Linked DNA regions of Drosophila melanogaster. The protein of the gene in region 1 interacts with the protein of each later gene in a pairwise test. Each region holds a gene or a part of one and is shown on either strand. Other genes may lie near its edges.

Evidence for each region. Proteins that work in one complex are often made in the same cells at the same time.
Region 2: the proteins of dpr19 (region 1) and CG17739 interact in a two-hybrid assay, tested with the Drosophila melanogaster proteins (one large-scale study listed by BioGRID).

Annotation. Positions count from the first base shown.
Region 1 is NT_033779.5:10,374,399-10,380,453, reverse strand, and holds dpr19 (defective proboscis extension response 19), read right to left. Parts: upstream 4,287-6,055; 5' UTR 3,901-4,286; exon of another isoform or gene 3,570-3,900; intron 3,207-3,569; 5' UTR 3,133-3,206; coding exon 3,066-3,132; intron 2,658-3,065; coding exon 2,512-2,657; intron 2,444-2,511; coding exon 2,233-2,443; intron 2,167-2,232; coding exon 2,055-2,166; intron 1,964-2,054; coding exon 1,590-1,963; intron 1,532-1,589; coding exon 1,284-1,531; 3' UTR 549-1,283; downstream 1-548. Other genes in the region: gny (garnysstan), read right to left, coding at 1-305; CG33303 (uncharacterized protein), read left to right, coding at 4,721-5,306, 5,363-6,055.
Region 2 is NT_033778.4:12,304,825-12,310,929, reverse strand, and holds CG17739 (uncharacterized protein), read right to left. Parts: upstream 4,403-6,105; 5' UTR 4,377-4,402; intron 3,652-4,376; 5' UTR 3,643-3,651; coding exon 3,465-3,642; intron 3,372-3,464; coding exon 2,983-3,371; intron 2,930-2,982; coding exon 2,468-2,929; intron 2,412-2,467; coding exon 2,240-2,411; intron 2,176-2,239; coding exon 2,054-2,175; intron 1,990-2,053; coding exon 691-1,989; 3' UTR 518-690; downstream 1-517. Other genes in the region: CG30203 (uncharacterized protein), read right to left, coding at 40-205; salto, read left to right, coding at 4,832-4,868, 4,932-4,999, 5,059-5,401, 5,459-5,710, 5,805-5,965, 6,029-6,105.

The DNA.
Region 1 (6,055 bases):
TCGAATCCCCTGCTCTTGTGCAGCTCGACGAAGCGGGGGTCAATGGATGCTCCTATGCGACCCACCAAATAGCTGTGGTAGGCCGTCAGAGGCGGATAATCCAGGCCCCAGTACTGAAGATCGTTGTTGGAGCTGTTTGTGTACCATTCCCCCACTGCCAGATTGACCGTGATCTCTTGCCAGTGGCGCTGGGCCTCGTAGTCGCCATGCATCGGCGGGGAATCGAAGCCGGAGTAGGAGTACAGCGAGATAATCGACCTAACCGCCAGGCCCAAAAAGGCGCTTGCCAAAATTTCGGATCTCATCTTTTTGTTTTGCCAACATTTTTCAGCGATGGTAGTTCAGCTATGTAGAATTATCGATAACTTGTGTCAAATACAACGACAAGCTAAGATTGCACCTCACGGAACTGCGGTATATGAAACAGAAATCGGAAGGGGGTCTTACATTTGAAAATGAGTTCAAAAATATTCATAACATTTTCGTATTCATTTTTTAAATGTGTACCACCCAACTGAAGAGCAAATAACTTAACCAGAAGCGGGTTTCTTAAAATTGATCTGTTTATTTAAAACGTTCTTATGTCGGCAACAAAATTTAAAAGTCGTTTTGCACTCCGTATTCGAGGGTAAACAAAACGAAACTGGCACTTCTGCCCATTTTGGATTGAAGACAGCGCTTTTGAAAACGCTCACGGAAGTAATATTTATTTACAGTTGTACATACAGTATATGAATTAGCATACTTCTAAAGGTGCTTACATAAATCAATCTATATACTAAATATCGAACACTGAGCAGAATAACAGTTTAAAGGTGACGATCAAATTTTCCGAGTTATTAGGTAACAAATCTGTATGGCTTTATCATTATCATTTTACGCTAATTCCATTGTTTGTAACATTAAAATGTCAGTACCAGTACCAGTCAATAAATATGAACATCTAAGCATACATTATATCTTACGTACCACTATGAACCATCAAAATATGCGGTTTTCAATCCCCCATGACTTATTGGCATAGGTATGCATTTTATAAGTTTTGTGGTAACAAGTTCGTGAATTCTCATCTTATTTCTCAATTCAATACATTGCATGTAATGGAAGTCTATTTACAGTTTATTCTTAGATTACTTTAAATGTCTTACCATGCCCACGCCGGCATCTCAATATGGTATGTCAATGATCTATTTACAATCTTCTATTTTAAAACAAATATTCTCAAATATAATATCCTCGAATGATTGAAGTTGCTCCATTCCAAATACCATCGATTATAAGTTTCAGCTATGCATAGTGACTATTATAAATGCTACGAATACCTTGTGAGTTGCCGCCAACGAGAATCGATCGAATACCACCGCGCCCATCAGCAGGAACAGCCCAGAGAAGTAGAGGATTCCCCCGGCCAGAGTTACGCCGCTAGTTCCATTCAGTCCACCCAATGTGATCAATCCGAAGGTGCCGTTGCCGTTGGTCTCCGTATCCAAAATGCTCCGATTGGCGTGCTGCATGGCCGCCGTTTTCTCACCTATTATAATTACAATGAGTATGACATATATTTAAATATCGACCGGCGGCGGTCTTACCCCTTAGAACATGCACTGTAATGCTGGCAGGACGGGCATTTGATGGAGCACATGTATAGTTGCCGGCATGACGGAAATTGACTTGCTTCACAGTAAGCACACTGACCGAGGGATTCAGGAGATAGGCGGATTGATGCTGTTGCGTCATATAGGGCGTGGAGGAGGGCACATTGGCGGCCGGTGCCTTGATAGCATCCGAGCTGCCCAGCAGGCTGTTGAGCACCCCATTGCTGGACTCCATGGGCATGGTGGCGCGCGATTTGTTCGCCGGCGAGCTACGGTAAAACTGGCCACTCTGCGGATTGCTTTGCCCAATCGATGTCACAACGAAGCCGCCTTGTGAGTCGTAATTGATCATTTTACTATCATGGTACCTAAATTGAAGAAATTGCATTCGGTTAAGTTGGGTCTTATGTTTAGAATAATATAAAATTTTACAAATCTAACTCATATTATTTTTCATACCAAAAAACAAATGCAGGATTCTCGGTAGCTCGCTTCAGTTTGCATTCGAGTCGCAGAGTAGAAGTCTCATCAATATGCAATTCCGGTGCACTAGAAATCTCAGCTACCGCTTCTATACAACGAAAAGATTCAATACCCGTTAAGCTTTGAACTTTGTAAGGCAGCTGCGTCCACTTACCGACAATCTTTAATTCTATAACTATTGACTGAGTTGGATAAATAGACAATTGACACTCGTAAAAACCGCGATCTTCCTCCCGAACTGCCTTAATTCTCAGGGACCAGTGGCCCATGTGCCGCGTGTGCTCCACCAAGAATCGCTTGTCACTACTGTGGGTGGATAGGCCCACTGTCAGGAGCTGGAAGTCCTTTCTACGTATCCAGGAAACCTGAAATGTTGCAAAAGGTCTAAGTATTAGAATCGATGTATAAATTTTAAGAAAAACATATATCTCACCGTGGCTGGGGAGTTAACTTTGACCACACAGGGCAGAATGGCAAGTCCTCCCTTTTGTGCAATAACTCGAGTGTTGTTCTTCGTATTAAATTGACTTTGTAAGGTGTTACCAAAATGATTTTGAGACGAAGTGATCTTCCCGACATCTGAAATGGTTGTTCAATGAATATTAAACAAAATCTCTTAATATAAATGTGTCAAAAATCACATGAAATGAATGAATCCAAAGTGATTTGCGGTGAAATGTTAAAAAAAAAAAACTTAAAAATGTAAAATGTAAAAATGAAACTTAAAAATGTATCTTTTATCTATGCCTTCATAGCTTTCGTTTTCATAGCTTTCGTTTTATTTTTAATTACTTTTGCATAGAAATAAAATTTTTCGTTCACTAATTTCTCTTGGTATTTAATATTTTTTTTTATTTACCTTCAAAAGCAATCAAAATAAAGTAAAAACGCAATCGAAGGTTTTCGCTTCCAATTTATAGCATACAACTTAGCGCAAAAGTGATAAAAATCGTTTAACGATTCATAAAGTTGGCGACCTTTGCTTACCAGAAAAAGTTGAACTAAGGAGTAGCAAAAAACATGATAAATGCAAGTGCCATCTTTTCGGTTCCATTATTTCCGAATTCGAGGCTCCGCGGATCGTATACTTTTCTAATTCAACTTTATACCCGCAGCAACATTGTCCTCCTGCAACGAACTTCAGTTTATGAGTACATTTGTATTTATGTATGTATGTATGTCCAATGTGTATTTCTAAAAATATTTGTGGCAACAACGATGCACCGTGGAGTATGTATGTATGTTTTATAGCTCGCAGATACAAGATATTTATATGTATGGGTCACGCAAACAACTTGAAACTTGTATCATGTTTTTTCTTTTTTGGGATAATCTTGACTTAAGTGGAGGAATTCAATTTCTTTCTTCACTAATATTTTATGCACAGAAAAAAAACACATGTCACGGATACAAACATACATATATGCATACAGATATATGTATATATTTTGGAGGAAATGCATACACAGAAATTGATGGAGGAAAACTCACTTTTTTCCCGTTTTTCTGCTCTTTTTGCACTGACTGCTCGGCAAATCCTTACGCGTACATACACATTTCGCCTCTAATTGTTTATGCAATCATAAAGCATTCGTATGACTATTTCATAGCTACATATTTTCGAGAATACAGATACAGATACACAGGTGAAAGATGTATAAATTGTATGTATTGACCGTCAGAAGTGCAGATTTCTCACTGCATTTTCGTTATATTTTCACACACGCGGCCTCTGTGTGTGCGGGTGTGTGTATGTGCGTGCGGGTGTGTGTGTGTGTGTGTGTGTTTAGAGAAAATGGCACAATTCTGGATTCGAATTTACTTGGTTGGAGCCAAGAGTCCGCAGTTCACACCCCGGCGAATACAACTTCGTTTTCGAAGTGCCAATCGTCGACTAAATTGAAGTCGGCAAAAAGCCCCATCCGTATAACTCACGCAATCGCATTATGTGGGGTCTCTTCTCTCCGGATTGCATTGCATATGCGTGTTTAAGCCAACTCGACTCGCCAATCGAAGGGATGATGACAGGAATTATTTAATATTATTCATATTTACTGCTGGGCGGCATAATGAATGGCATAGAGAATCGCATGAGTCGCACAAAAGTGGCGTAACAACGGCGTGTATTCTTGTTCTAAGGGTAATAGATAACGAACTTTGGTGGGGTGCTTTCCAAAATTAGTTTTATTCTGCTGCCAATCGATTGAAATGGCGCCCAGTCAGCTGACTGCTATCAGCCAAAAGTTAGGTTAGGTCAGTACTTGATAAGTGCTTCGCTAACAAGATAATATAATAATATAATGTAATATAACAATGAGAATCGTTAAAACACAACAAAAATTATGTATGCTATAAAACATGCATGCAGAACTTAAAATATATCAATAATATTTTATAAATGATTATTATATATTTTGTGCTTAAATTGATGCAAAATAAGCTTTATTTAGAAGTGCTATTATTTTGGTTACTGCCCTTTATATATTTTTTCTGTTATAAGAATAAAAATTAAAATATTTATGGAATACCCCTGATAATTCTGCGCAGTGGCTGGTAAAAGTACGAATGCGTGACACGGTCACGCTGAGCCGCTTTGCCGGCTGAATGGTCTTAAATATGCCCTAACGCTTCGAGATTTTCCAATGTACGTGTCCAAATTTGAGGCGAGCATGGCTACGAATTTTGTTATTTATCTGGCGCTTGGGGCACTCCTCTGCCTGGCCACTGCCAACGGGGAAATAGTGAACACAAATGTGGAGCGAACGCTGGACCTAACATCGCAGCTGGTAAAGACGACCACCAAGATCTCGGCGGAAGATTCGGCCGGCAAGCCGATTGTGGAATACGTGTTTTTCACATCGGAGCCCAGTTTGGCGTACATTGACGTAAAAGATGCTAGCGACAAGAGTGTGCCATTCAAGCGGAATGAGCCCGTGAAGGGGGAGCAGAGCTTCACGTTCACCTTCCCCAGGGCCGCCGCCAAGCAGACGTTCATCGTCGAGACCGTGGCCTCTAAGGGCATCCGCCCACATCCGGAGGAGATACGGCAGAACGACAAGCAGTTCGTGAAATATACGGGCAATCTGCACCTCTATTCCAAGTACAGGACCAACAGCCAGAAGACCAATGTCAAGCTCAGCTCCTCGAACATCTTGTCGCACACCCAGGTCAAACCCTTTTCGGTGTCCTCCAACAAGATCACCCTGGGACCCTACGAAAACGTAGAGGGTAAGTAATAGCTGCCTAGCAGAAACCGTCTGTTCTAACGCTTTCGATTCGTGCAGCCTTCAGCCAGGAGCCACTAGTCATCCACTATGAGAACTCCGCACCATTCGTCACCGTCAATACGCTGGAACGCACGCTGGAGATATCGCATTGGGGCAACATTGCCGTCCAGGAGTCTATTCAGATGACGCACACCGGGGCCAAGCTGAAGGGCTCGTTCTCGCGCTACGATTTCCAGAAGGAAGGACGCTCCGGACTGGCGGCCCTCAAGTCGTACAAGACCTACCTGCCAGCATCCGCATCTGGTGTCTATTACCGCGACACCAATGGCAACATTTCCACCTCCAACATGAACGCCGTGCGCGACTTCATCGAGCTGGAGCTGCGTCCGCGCTTCCCGCTCTTCGGCGGCTGGAAAACGCAATACACTCTGGGCTACAATGTGCCCTCGTACGAGTACATGTTCAACGATGGCAACAAGTACCAGCTGAAGATGCACCTCATCGATCACATCTACGACAATATGGCCATCGATGAGGCCACCATCAAGATTATTCTGCCTGAGGGATCCAGTGACATTAGGCTGTCCACGCCCTACTCCATCAGCCGATTGCCCAATGAGCTGGTGCACACCTATCTGGATACCATTGGTCGCCCGGTGGTCTCGTTCTCCAAATCCAATTTGGTCGAAAGCCACATTTCGGACTTTACGCTCCACTACAGCTTCTCGAAGACTTCTATGCTGCAGGAAC
Region 2 (6,105 bases), on another chromosome or scaffold:
TGTTGAAGTAAAAGCTTCAGGACAACTCGAGACTCTCACCATTGTACTGATGTTCTGGCACATAGGTCTCTGGATTGCCATCGATAAGGATCTTAAAGTTATCATCCACAGGCGATCGAGGGCCACTGGCACCTTGGGGTATCCGATTGCAGACTCCTCTGACTTCGGAAGACAGCAGAATGAGGAGCACGATATGGCGAAGCATCTCTTCTCAATCTTAGCGATCCGTACTGGGTCGAGGCTCAACGGCGACTGACCAAAACTGATGGCTAGCCATCTCCATTAATTGATGAGCATTTCCAATTTATCAATTATCCCTTAAATGGCGCTCTCGGCGTTGACAGCTTATGGCATCTTGATTGAGTTGTCTTCAATTAGGAATGGTTTGTTTTTATGGCAAGCTTTTCAATTGATGAATTGTGCCCGGGTTCTTTGAACTTGCAACCCGGCGAAAAATCACTCGTAAACTGGCCACTGTTTGCTTAATGGAACTGGGTCAAGGTTAAACTCAATCGGAATTGGAATTACCACGCGAACACAATTCTGTTTTATTGTTTTTAATACATATTTAATCTGTTGCGAGAAGAGCTAGTGTAGGTAGTCTGGAATTTTTCATATATTTAACGATATCCATTGGTAATGATTACATAGTTGGATTAGAACTAATACTTGTAGCAGTTAATGGTATGTTCACCACCGCTCTGGATCATCGTTGCTGGTCAGCTGGCAAGGCATCATCACGCACTTTTCCATGCGGACGCGATCCTTGCACTTGTAGCTCAGATCGGTGTTCATTAGGGTTCGGGTTCGTTGGCGAACGGCATTATCGCCACACGTGGCGGTGCATGGTGTCCAGGCGGACCACTCCGAGTAGCGACACTCGTCCTGCGGTTCCGGTTGCGGAGCTCTTACCACATGCCTTCGCTCTCCAAATCCCCGTCCACTGATTGAGTACATGTCATCGCACCGCTGGTAGCAGCGATCCAAACGTACCAGGTGCTTGGGACATGGCTTGCCTCCATACTTCGGAGTACGGAGCACCCGACGCGTTCGCAATTGGAAGCCATCGCCGCAGGAGGCGTTGCAACTGTGGGAAACCCAGTCAGAGACGAGACAATCAATGGCTGGAATGCCATCGTGCTGCAGTTCCTGTTTGTGGCGCGGCAGGCGACATGTCTCCTCGCACTCCTCCTTCGACTTGAATTTGTTGCGATTTGTATCACAACGATCCGACCAATAGATGGCACACTGGTCACTCACATGGTCGTAGTACCAGAAGTTGGCCACATCGTTATCCCGACACGGACTGTCGGTCAGCTCGTCGTAGCAGAAGCCGGGAACAATGGTATCGCAGCTAGGATTGGTGCAGTTCACCTCCTCGTGCAGCTTGATGTGTCGACAGGGATCCTGGCCGTCATCATTGGGATCCGTTACTCCGTACACCTGGTTGTTATTCCACACCTTGCGAATACGTTGCCGCTTTCCATGTCCACCGCATGGCCCCATGCACGGCGAGAAATCCGACCATGGAGTGACCCCGCAAACCGGTGGTATGTAATCCTCCCGATGCTGACTGTAACTCTCGAAGTTGCGGAATATGGAGCGTTTCTCAGCGGATCCACCTCCGTCGCCACCGGCCTGTTCCTCCTCCGGTTCCCCAGCACCACCTTCGTTCTCGATGTCCCCACCGCATTCCATTGCCTCGCAAATCTTGGTCTCATGCAGACGCGCCCTGCTTGCCTTCTGGCACTTCTTCTTGGCCTTCTTGTTTAGATAGTGTCGGGATCGGGTCATTTCGCCGGTTCCACAAGTCACGGTGCACGAAGACCACTCCGACCAGTCAGACAGACCGCACTGGGGATCGTCGCTGCTACCTGGTGATGGCGCCACCTCCGGCTCGCCGCCTTCAGCTGTCTCCTCATTGAAGCCAGCGCACTTGTGTCCCACGCAGTTCTTCTCCTCACGCAGGGCATTGTTGCAACGATGACGCTAAGGTAGGTGTCAAAATGTATATATAGTATGGGATCCAAATTATATATGTCGTCTTAATTACCGAAGCCAATGCAGGGTTCTTGAACTCTCGGATTCTGTATTGCTTGCCGGGACCGCACTTTGTGGTGCATTCATCCCATCTGGACCACGAGTTTGTGGCGCACTCCGGCGGTACCTGTTCCGCTACAGGATTAAAGTATATAGTATGTATATTCACAACATCAATATATGGTTGCATTTAACTTACAATCGGAGGACTCGCAGTTCTTTTCGTAGAGTCGTCTTCGATTGATGTGCAGGGTGGCCAATGGCTTCATCTGGGCACCAGTGGGATCATAAAAGGGCGAACGGGGATCGTTGGGGAAATTTGATTTGATGCGGCGCACAACATCTGGAGGCACCTGTGGCTGGTCAGCGGACTGAAAAGTATTCGTGATTGACTCTACTGAAGACTAAATCATGGAAATCGTCTTACCATATATGATGGACCACTATCGGTGCCCGCATCCCAGGGATATAGGTTGTGCACCTTGTTCTCCACCCAGGAACAGTTGGGCAGACATAGCTCGAGGCCGGATACACCAACGATCCAGTCTGGAGAGGGATCCACCATTGATACGAGGGAGATCAAATGGTGGTTGGAGTCGACGCGAAAAACGGCAAATGTTTTGCCCGTAACATTCGGATAGGCAATGCCCCTTGCCTTGATGATCGTGCGAATGTGTTCGCTCTGATCCTTCAGCTCACTCTCCAAGGTCCTTGTGGAGCCATGCTCCGCCACCTCACGCAGCCCCTCGCTGGCCAGCTCTCCATACTGCCAGAATCTGTAGTCCAGTGTGTGCGAGGCACCAATGATATCGCTGAATCTGGTGCGCCAGCTATTCGCTGGAAAGTCCTTGGGATGTGTGTGACGCGACCACTTGCCTTCGAAGGTAAGCTGAAGTAAGGAGGTGTTAATACCATTTCAATAATGAGTTAAAAGAGTCCCACCTCATATTTGGCCTCGTCACAGGCACAGCACGGATCCACGATGCTGGGCTGGGTGTCAATGTCGTCCACCTCCTCCTCGCACATACGCTTGGTAAGGAAGCCATCATCCATGAACCACACATCTCGATGCTGCATCACCGTAGCCCTCAGCAGGATGCAGCCCTGTCCCGGACTCGATGGAGCCACCCAGAACACATCCACGCGTGTCTTCACGTTCGTGTTGGTATTCTCGACAAGATTTGGGCAGCGCGGACTGAAACGGGTCTCGGCGAGATCGGCGATCTCCCAGGTGCCCAGGGCATTGGCGTCACCATCGCCGTCACCACTCTCCAAATCCAGGGCCAGCATAAAGCTAATGAAGGACAAGCCAGAAAATGCACTGAGGCTAACTGAAAACGAGCAGCGAAAGATTAGAGAATTGAAAGAAAAATCTAGAAATTTGTAAATTTAATTTAATTTAATGCTTAATTTAATGCACTCACCATTATACCTTTGACCGGGCACATAACTCTGCGTATTTCCGTTTACGGACAGCACATAGTTATCATCCACCGGTGACTTGGCTGCTGTGACTCCCGGTGGGACCCTAATGCAGCCCTCGATCCGGGGAATAACACCCACTAATGCGAGAAGAATAGTGAAACCTTCCAGAGCTTTCATTTCAAAGAGCTGCAATGCAAAATTGAGTGGGAATACAAATTTACAATCATTTGATGCAGCCACGTGGTTGTGGGGGAAAAAACTATTTCTGGCCAGCACTTAATTGTCTTAATTATCCGCATTGGTATCGAATGTCAATGGCAACCAATGGAGCCTACTTCCAGTTTCAAACTGAACTTGAATTCGTAGAAATAGCCTTCAATTGAATGACTTTGCGTGATGTCACACATAGTGCATATTGCTATTTTCGCAGACACTTTCCATTTCCTTTGAGATCCAAATTATGCCAGCTCAATTGCCATGCGGAACTTGAACTAGGCGGGTTGTTGGTTGTTTACCCCTTGAAAATCGGATCGCATTGCGTATATACAATATATAGTCTGTACTATATAGACCGTCTACGTCACTGATTAAATTCAATTGAAAAACGCGCCGACTGTCTACAGCGAATTCGAATACAAGGGGGTGACAAACGTCCATTTCCCATGGATCTAAATCATTAAAGTCACTTTTAGGGCTTCTTCACCTCAGTACTGCACTTATATTGTAGCACCCACTTTCACTAGCACATCATGTATGTTAATCCAGTTGATTAAGTTATTTTGAGAAAATAAACTAATAGCAAGGTGGTACAGATTGTTTTTTCATACTCTTGTTACTCAGTATTGATGGATCGTAAATGAAACAATCTCGAAATATATGCTTTTAGAGGGAAATCCGAACTAAGAACTTACTCGGTGGACGCACGAACAGCAACTGAATGCAAATTTCGCCGAGTCGATTATTGGATGGACGATGTGCATCATTCGGGACCGACGAATGGATTACATGGAGAACCTCAGAGAGGGAAAAACTGCTCTCTACTTTTCCCTCCCATTTAGCTTAGTTTCCGCTTCTTTTGCAGATTCGCATTTGTTGATAGAAACCATTAGTTTTCATACGCTCATTCTAAACAAACAGACCCCAAAAACACCGGGTACATTGGAACTGAACAAGTGTGCTCTGAGTTTGAATTCATGTTACTTCCACGAACCACCTCGTTTGGATTGGTCAGAAAGCATTTTTGTACCATTTACACTAGACGTAGTTCAACTGGAAATATTTAGAAACAAATTTTCTATACTATTTTTTCCTCATTTTGAACACAAAAATCGTTTACAAAAAAGCGTTGATTTCCGAAACTTTAGATATGAATTCTTCCAGCGTGACGCCGCGTTCAGTTCGTAGTAAGTACATGTACCTTGAACGCTATACGAATGTGTGCTTCAAATGCTCGTTATCCTTGTTAGGTAACAAAGCATTCTTGCTGAGGACAGCTGGAAAGGCGGAAAAGCAAGCCTCAGACAAAGCTACATGGGTGAGTGAGATAGAAGAAAAGGGTTTAGTTTTTTCAAATGCTTTACATCCCCGTCCCAGTCTCGCACTTCTTCTTGTGGTGGCGTCTTCTCTACTCCTCCCACCCAGAATGGCGACGGAAGCCCAAACAAAGGTAGGCTCAGTCACATTCCAAATAGGCGTGGAGCGAGTCGGTCGTCTATCCATTCGCGAAAAACTTCTCTGGAACGGGTTACTTCTTCGACGAAAGCGCGCCCGTGTGTCAGTACGTATTCGTTGCCCAATCGACGGGTCGAGCCCGAGCATAAAGTAGTTGAGCCCGATCGGAAAACTGATATCGATGAGTTGAATCCCCCCAAGCGGAACGTGGTTCCCATAAAGACGCATGCCCAGTCAGCACAATTGGTTAAGTCAACGACATGCGGTGGGTATCGCGAATATTTGAAACGTGGTCCAATTCTCTGATTATTGCCGTCCACAGAACCTTATCAAAATGTAAAGAAGCCTGAAAAGATGTCGCATCGCCGTGTCCTGGAGATGAACCGGATGCGGGTCTTTGATACGCAGAAAAAAAAACTGGAGAACCTGCAGTCCGAGTTTATGCACAAGATCCGGTTAATGGGTTCGGAGCTCCGGAATCAAGGGGTCTTCAAGTTTGTGGGTCTGACTGTAAACGATGAATGCAAGCTTGTGGTCCACCATGATGATCTACTTCGATTGCCCAAGAGTATTCGTAAGTTCGTTTTGATTTTACGTCTTCGATTGAATGAATTGTTATCCTTGAATTATCCTTCTTTCGCTTACAATTGCATACTTTTATTTTCTAGCCGCCGAAAGTATGAATGACTTGAAAACCAGGTGTCGTGCGATTGTAGATCAGGGGGTTTTGTTAATCTACGACCATATACCAAGAATTCAGAGGGCTAAAAATGATCTCGAGGCTAGTGAAAAGCGTGAGGAAACTCAAAAAAAGTTGTCTAACCTAGTGGTATGTTTTTGTGCAACCGCTATGATGCACTAGCAATGTGAAACTATTTTATTGTGTCTCCAGGAAGAAAAAATGAATTTAATCGTCGAGGAGATCGAACAGTTGTGCGGTGCATGCTCCAAACAAGAGTCACCCAACAA